Linked DNA regions of Macaca fascicularis. The protein of the gene in region 2 purifies or fractionates together with the protein of the main gene of each other region. This does not show direct contact. Links are inferred from orthologs where the notes say so. Each region holds a gene or a part of one and is shown on either strand. Other genes may lie near its edges.

Region 1 (4,290 bases), on a different chromosome or scaffold from region 2:
GTTGAGAAATAACCTGTTGGGCACAATGTTCACTATTTGGTTATTGGGCACACTGGAAGCCCAGTCCCCATCCGTGAGACCCATGTGACAAATGTGCACGCGTACCCCCGAATCAAAAATAAAATAAAACATTTTAAACATACAAAATACAGATACACACACACACGTAAAGGAGAAAAGGGCCAGTATATCCTAGAGTAGGTATTTTTGGAGGAGAATTCCTTGTTTGGATATGAAGGGTCAAAACTATGTTTGCTTAATAAGGCATACTTTTTTGTAACATATTAAAAACTATTTTCCTTCCTGTCTATGGTACTGATAGCTGTCGACTTGCTGGAGAAGATGCTTGTATTGGACTCAGATAAGAGAATTACAGCAGCCCAAGCCCTTGCACATGCCTACTTTGCTCAGTACCACGATCCTGATGATGAACCAGTGGCCGATCCTTATGATCAGTCCTTTGAAAGCAGGGACCTCCTTATAGATGAGTGGAAAAGTAAGTCCTAAGGGTAGGATTAACATCTTGTACCACTAACCGAAAGCGGTGGGAAAATAAAAACTGAATGGTCATAACCAACTTGCTAAAGCTTGTAGTTGAGGTCTGTAATGCAGAATGAATATGTTCTCTGGTGGAAAGTGTTGTAGACAGTGATACTCTCTGGACCTTTGAGATACTTAACATCTGGTCTGATTTTATGCACAGCCCCTCACATATAGGAGCTTTGCATGGAGATTTGAGGTTTTCAGAGTTATTGCATTTACAACATCTCTCTGAGCTAAGTAAAGAATAGGATATTTTTACAGTTTTACAGTTAGTAGAACTGGGGCAAAGAGAATTTATGTCTTATCAGTTAACTTAGAACTAGTTAGGGACATAGCCAGGAATGGAACCCGTGTATCCTGTGTCCAGTCCCATATTCTTTCCATAAAACACAAGTTCAGAACTCCAGTTAAATCCAAAGAGCCAAGACCATCTGTTGCCGTAGCTTGTGAGAGTGCTCTTTCATTCTTGAGCACCTCCGTAGAGAACTTAAGAGGCATTCAGCAATGAAAAACATGAGGAAAAAAAAAGGTTCTTTTCTATGTCCCTCGAACTTCTGTGTGATAACGTGCTCCATTAGAATATTACATACCAGCTGTGAGGTAGCCCATCATACCACTACCTGGACAGGGAGGAAGGATCTTGAGTGAAGTCAGAGTGCTCGCCAGCAAAGAGAACAGCCTAAACTCTCACGTCTTACTTTTCCTTCCCGATGTCTAGGCCTGACCTATGATGAAGTCGTCAGCTTTGTGCCACCGCCCCTCGACCAAGAAGAGATGGAGTCCTGAGCACCTGGTTTCTGTTCTGTCGATCCCACTTCACTGTGAGGGGAAGGCCTTTTCATGGGAACTCTCCAAATATCATTCAAGTGCCTCTTGTTGCAGAGATTTCCTCCATGGTGGAAGGGGGTGTGTGTGCGCGTGTTAGTGTGTGTGCATGTGTGTGTCTGTCTTTGTGGGAAGGTAAGACAATATGAACAAACTATGATCACAGTGACTTTACATGAGGTTGTGGTGACTTTACATGAGGTTGTGGATGCTTCAGGGCAGCCTCCACCTTGCTCTTCTTTCTGAGAGTTGGCTCAGGCAGGCAAGCTGCTGTCTTTTTAGGAATATGTTCAATGCAAAGTAAAAAAATATGAATTGTCCCCAATCCTGGTCATGCTTTTGCCACTTTGGCTTCTCCTGTGACCCCCACCTTGACGGTGGGGCATAGACTTGACAACATCCCACAGTGGCACAAGAGAAGGCCCACACCTTCTGGTTGCTTCAGACCCAACGCTGTCCCTCAGTGATGCGTACAGCCAAAAAGGACCAACCGGCTTCTGTGCACTAGCCTGTGATTAACTTGCTTCGTATGGTTCTCAGATCTTGACAGGTGTATTTGAAACTGTAAATATGTTTGTGCCTTAAAAGGAGAGAAGAAAGTGTAGATAGTTAAAAGACTGCAGCTGCTGAAGTTCTGAGCTGGGCAAGTTGAGAGGGTTGTTGGACGGCTGCTTGTGGGCCCGGAGTAACCAGGTAGCCTTCAGAGGCGGTCATGTGTGCATGTGAGTGCATGCGTATATGTGCGTCTCTCTTTCTCCCTCACCCCCAGGTGTTGCCATTTCTCTGCTTACCCTTCACCTTTGGTGCAGAGGTTTCTTGAATATCTGCCCCAGTAGTCAGAAGCAGGTTCTTGATGTCATGTACTTCCTGTGTACTCTATTTCTAGCAGAGTGAGGATGTGTTTTGCATGTCTTGCTATTTGAGCATGCACAGCTGCTTGTCCTGCTCTCTTCAGGAGGCCCTGGTGTCAGGCAGGTTTGCCAGTGAAGACTTCTTGGGTAGTTTAGATCCCATGTCACCTCAGCTGATATTATGGCAAGTGACATCATCCTCTCTTCAGCCCCTAGTGCTATTCTGTGTTGAACACAATTGATACTTCAGGTGCTTTTGATGTGAAAATCATGAAAAGAGGAACAGATGGATGTACAGCATTTTCATTCATGCCATCTGTTTTCAACCAACTATTTTTGAGGAGTTATCATGGGAAAGATCAGGGCTTTTCCCAGGAATATCCCAAACTTCAGAAACAAGTTATTCTCTTCACTCCCAATAACTAATGCTAAGAAATGCTGAAAATCAAAGTAAAAAATTAAAGCCCATAAGGCCAGAAAACTGCTATCTTCCTCTAAATATGATTACTTTAAAATAAAAAAGTAACAAGGTGTCTTTTCCACTCCTCTATGGAAAAGGGTCTTCTTGGCAGCTTATCATTGACTTCTTGGTTTGGGGAGAAATAAATTTTGTTTCAGAATTTTGTATATTGCAGGAATCCTTTGAAAATGTGATTCCTTTTGATGGGGAGAAAGGGCAAATTATTTTAATATTTTGTATTTTCAACTTTATAAAGATAAAATATCCTCAGGGGTGGAGAAGAGTTGTTTTCATAATTTGCTGAATTTCAGGCATTTTGTTCTACATGAGGACTCGTATATTTAAGCCTTTTGTGTAATAAGAAAGTATAAAGTCACTTCCAGTGTTGGCTGTGTGACAGAATCTTGTATTTGGGCCAAGGTGTTTCCATTTCTCAATCAGTGCAGTGATAAACGTACTCCAGAGGGACCGGGTGGACCCCCGAGTCAACTGGAGCAAGAAGGAAGGAGACAGACTGATGTTGATTCCCTCTCAGCCGGGACTCTCCCCCTTTCAAGGAGAGTGAACGTAAAGGCCTCATCTCCTTTATTGCAGTTCAAATCCTCACCATCCACAGCAAGATGAATTTTGTCAGCCATGTTTTGGTTGTAAATGCTAGTGTGATTTCCTACAGAAATACTGCTCTGAATATTTTGTAATAAAGGTCTTTGCACATGTGACCACATACGTGTTAGGAGGCTGCATGCTCCGGAAGCCTGGACTCTTAAGCTGGAGCTCTCGGAAGAGCTCTTCGGTTTCTGAGCATAATGCTCCCATCTCCTGATTTCTCTGAACAGAAAACAAAAGAGAGAATGAGGGAAATTGCTATTTTATTTGTATCCATGAACTTGGCTGTAATCAGTTATGCCATATAGGATGTCAGACAATACCACTGGTTAAAATAAAGCCTATTTTTCAAATTCAGTGAGTTTCTCAAGTTTATTATATTTTCCTCTTGTTTTTATTTAATGCACAATATGGCATTATATCAATATCCTTTAAACTGTGACCTGGCATACTTGTCTGACAGATCTTAATATTACTCCTAACATTTAGAAAATGTTGATAAAGCTCCTTAGTTGTACATTTTTTGGTGAAGAGTATCCAGGTCTTTGCTGTGGATGGGTAAAGCAAGGAGCAAATGACAAGGTATTAAGCACTGGGGCCTGTCTTATCTACACGCGAAGGTAAGAGTGGCCGAAACGACAGGGCTCAGCAGACTGTGGCCTGAAGGTCAAATCTGGCCCACCACTCTTTTGGTGTAGTCTGCTAAGAATGGCTTTTACATTTTTAAATGGTTGGGAAAGAAAAACAAAAAGAAGTAGTAGTTTTTGTAGCAGGTAAAAAGTAATGTAAAACTTAAATTCCAGTATCCATAAATAAAGTTTTATGAGAACAGAACCATGTTCATCTGTTTATGTATTGTCTGTGGCTGCTTTTGTGCTACAGTGACAGAGGCAAATAGTTGCAGCAGAAACTATACGACCTCCAAAATGTCAACCACTTACCATCTGGCCCTTTAGAGAAGTCTGCTGACCCTTGGCCCAGGGCTACAGTTTTCTCATCTATACA
Region 2 (4,081 bases):
TGAGGGAGGAGGACTTTTGAGGCCTTAAGAATCCCATGTCCTTGGATGATCTGAAGAAAGGAAGACGTATAGGGTATATCCACAAAGCTGGGGTCCTAGTGGAATTACTAGCTACCAATTCTTGAGCATTTCGTATGTGCTAGGGACTGTACTAAGTACTCTACATACATTATTCTTGAGTCAGAAATTATTCCTTCATAGAGCAAAAGAAGCCCATAGCAGTTATATAAATACGTGCTCCCCCCTACCCCACCGCCAAATAGTTCATAACATCATCAATCCAATGATGTTATTTTTTGGATGGAGAAATTAAGACCCAGAAGGGTTATATACTGACATTGTATAGCCAGTGAGGAAGAAACTGGGCCTGGAATCCAGATCTCTCCACTCTGAAGGGAGAAACCCCTACACGGCAAAAACCCAGGGGCCACAATTCATTATGAAGTTTGTGTAAACTTCATAGCCAATGCCATCTGTATGGACTACATTGTCAGTGGCAGCCCCTGAAGTTCTGCCACTTGGCCACCCTGGCTCAGCTCCATGATGAGCTGCTCACCCCTCAAAAAAGTTCTGGATGGAACTAGAGACTATGATTCTAAGTGAAGTAACTCAGGAATGGAAAACCAAACACTGTATGTTCTCACTCATAAGTGGGAGCTAAGCTATGAGGATGCAAAGGCATAAGAATGATACAATGGACTTTGGGGACTTGGGGGAAAGGAGGGAGGCGGGTGAGGGATAAAAGACTACAAAAATTGGGTTCAGTGTATACTGTGGGTGATGGGTGCACCAAAGTCTCACAAATCACCATTAAAGAATTTACTCATGAAACCAAACACCACCTGTCCCCCCAAAACCTATGGAAATAAAATTAAAAAAGGAAGTTCTTGAGACCAGAACCTCAGGTCCCTGGAGACTGAACACTGGCCTCCTTGCCAACTCTTCCATCCAGAGTCTCCTCCAAGGTGACGGACTCCATCCCTTCACCATCCGTCTGTGCTTGTACTCCTTCAACACACCTCTCGGGGCACCCTCTCTGCACCAGGCTTCAGGCTCAGCTCTGGGGACACCCGGCTGCCCTTGATGGAGCCTTGTGCTGAGAAAGCACCCGAGCCTGGTGTGATTGTAACTCAAGCTTCCCCAGCAGCTTTGTCAGCAGCACCAAGAGGCTGCCCTTAACAAGCCCCAAGGAGAAAGAGGTGGGGACCTCCGCAAAGGGATGACTAAAGGGGCCTGGTTGGAGTAGAAGACTTGGCCCTCAAGGGGGAGGGAAGGGTGACTGGGAGGGCACGCAGTCAGGACACAGTGGAGAAGAGGACAAATCCTGGGATGCCACATCACCTGGTCCAACTGAGGACACTCAGGCTCAATGTGTCCTGGGTGGATCAGGATTAACGCCTGGGAATCTGATCTCAGGTCCAGGGCTTCTTCATTCTCCCAAACGGAATCCCAAACTCGGAGTGTTTGAGTGTTTGCATAAGAGACGTGAGAGCTCTCCTTTGAGGTTGAAGGAAGCAAATTAAAGCCCCCTCCCCCGTTTTTTGGTACAGCAGGTAGGGATGATAGCAAATGAATGGCACCTGCCCCTCCAAGTGAGGCAGGGCTGGAATTACACACTTTCGTGGTACACTCAGGTGAATTTTGGGGTTCTGGGGCTTCAATGGGGGTGGGATCTAGTTGTGTAGGAGGGGACATGAGTATGAAAACCTGTGACCCTAGATTCTAATGAAAGCTTTACCACTAACTCTCCGGTCACCTTGGCCAAGCCACCTTACTGGGCCCTCAGTTACCCCACCTGTAAAATGAGGAGGTTGACTAAGTTCCGAAGATTCGTCTGGCCCGGATCTTCTAAAGCCCTGTGATCCTGGATAAGGTAAGCCTCCCAAGGTTCTTACACGGGCAATCTCCGGTTTTGCAGGAGCCTGGGCCTCATCCAGAAACAAGCTGCATGCTGGGGGAGGGGAGCGCGCTAAGCTTTTATTCTGGGGGAGGGTGGGACGCTGGAGGCTAAAGCTAAAGGGTCGGTGGAGGCGATGCGTTGGGAAGGCTGGGAGCCGCGCTTTAGAGACCGGAAGGGTAGCGGCGGTTTCCAACCTCCCTCAGGGGCTTCAGGCTCTGAAGAGGCAATGCAGCCCAGAGCCGCGCACCAACCTCCGCCGGCCGTAGAGGCTCACACTCCAAAACACTATCCCGATTCCTCCCCGGAACCGCGCACGGGCTTCGTGGGGAGTGGCTGCCGCTCCCTCCCGGCTACCAAGCGCCGAGCCCCCTCCTCTGCGTTGGGGGACCCCTCCCCCAGCATGGGGGCGCCCGGAGCCCCACGGGGGCGTGGCGGGGGCGGGCGCCGACTCCTCGGCCCGGAGGACTGGAGAAGGTGTCAATTGCGGGGCCACCCCAAGGAGGGACCCGCGCCCTGCACCTTCCGGCTCCGCACACAAAGGCGCCGACGGAGGCGCTGCACTTACCGGCCAGAGCGGGCTGCGGGCTGCGGGCTGCGGGCTGCGGGCTGCGGGCTGCGGGCTGCGGGCTGCGGGCTCCGGGCTCCGGCGAGCAGGCGGGCAGGCGGGCAGGCGGGCAGGCGGGCAGGCGGGCAGGCGGGCAGGCTGGCGGGAGGATGTGCGCGCGCGAGTGTGCGTGTGTCTGCGTGTGTCCCTGCCTGTGTCTGTGCCAGTGTGTGCGCGACGGGGGCCGCGCCGAGCTCTGTGCGTCTGCGTGTGCGGGGGCGTCCGTCCTTCGGTCCGTCCGCCCGGCGCTCCGTCCCGCGCTCCGTGCGCGCTCCCTCGCCCTACAGCCTCACCAAATGCGCTTCAGCTGCGGAGTCGCAGGCGCAGCCGCCGGGTGGGTTTGGCACCCCCCAGCCCTGGCTCCGCTCCGCCCCGCCCCCGGGCGGGCTGGCGCCGCTCCCCGGGAATTGCGCAGGGCTGGCGGGGCTGGGGACCGGGAGATCGGGCTGCTCCCGGGGCACGAAGGGGGCGGATCACAGACCCTTAACCCCTGACCTCATCTCAGGTGCCTCCCTCTCCCGAGCAACTCTGCGCGGAGTCCCAGCAGTCGTTGTCCTCAAGCCAAGGTTGCCTGGACAGGGAGGGCGGAGGAGTGGGAGCATCGCATCCATTTCATTCATGATTTTTCTCCTCTTGGGAGCCCCGGGTCGGGCCGCGCTGCTACGGCAACCGCCAGAGGGACCCTGCCAGGGCCGTGCGCGCTGAACCTGGGACGGGACAGACAGGCAGACAGAGGGAGTAGGGGCCAGCGAGACAAAGGGGGCAGAATTGGGGGGTGGGGGGTGGGGGGTGGGGGGGTCGGCTCACTGGGGGCATGCTGTGGCGCTCCTCCCATGTTACCAACACCTGCGCAAGTGGAGCGGCCGCATACTAGGGCGCACGCAATACCGGGTGACGAGTACCAGTTCTAGGACGCTGAGGAGGCGCCCCTTTTCCCAGTTCTCCCTGTTCAGCCTCTGGGGAGCTAGAGTGAGCGGACAGCTCCTCCCTCCGCTGAGTCTTGCCCCCCTGACGTGCGGCGAGGGGCACGCATCTGTCGGTTTTCTCGTGGGCACCAGGGGCCCGGACGCGCAGGGAGCTGCCCATGCGCCCCACAATTCTCCCGCAATCTCCGGTATTCTGCAGGCTGTTACCATGCTGGCCAGAGGTTTCCGGCATTCCATCCCCATAGGGGCTTGAGGCTGTGGGCTGCACACAGGGCAGGGATCCTAAACTCCATTTTTTACACGGGGAATCAGAGGCGAGCCACCACATAGCTACCACACTGGTTCCAGCCATCATCCCCCACCCCCCCGGGATTTCCATAATAGCGTCTTTACTGGTCTCCCAGCTTCCACCCTTGGCCCCCTGCAGCTATTCTCTACACAACAGTCCCAGCGGCGATCCTTTAAAATTTAAGTAAGAGCACGTCGTTCCTTTACCGGAAAGGCCCCTCATGACCTGCAAAGGCCCTTCAGGAGCTGGCTCCCTTTTAACTCTTTAAACTCTCTTTCTACTGCCCTCCCCTTCTCCCACGCTCCAGTCACATTGGCCTTTTTAATGCATCATCCGCATGGCAGCCCTGTGGCCTCAGGACC

What was found.
Region 1: the proteins of PTPN5 (region 2) and MAPK14 purify together in Homo sapiens (affinity purification with mass spectrometry; 3 studies listed by BioGRID and IntAct, with this or other methods). This does not show direct contact. The link is inferred for Macaca fascicularis from reciprocal best matches to the Homo sapiens genes PTPN5 and MAPK14.

What each region holds. Positions count from the first base shown.
Region 1 is NC_088378.1:135,562,065-135,566,354, reverse strand, and holds the end of MAPK14 (mitogen-activated protein kinase 14), read left to right. Parts: intron 1-322; coding exon 323-496; intron 497-1,261; coding exon 1,262-1,329; 3' UTR 1,330-3,642; downstream 3,643-4,290. UniProt on the Homo sapiens protein: Serine/threonine kinase which acts as an essential component of the MAP kinase signal transduction pathway.
Region 2 is NC_088388.1:46,908,596-46,912,676, reverse strand, and holds the start of PTPN5 (tyrosine-protein phosphatase non-receptor type 5), read right to left. Parts: upstream 2,822-4,081; 5' UTR 2,466-2,821; intron 1-2,465. UniProt on the Homo sapiens protein: May regulate the activity of several effector molecules involved in synaptic plasticity and neuronal cell survival, including MAPKs, Src family kinases and NMDA receptors.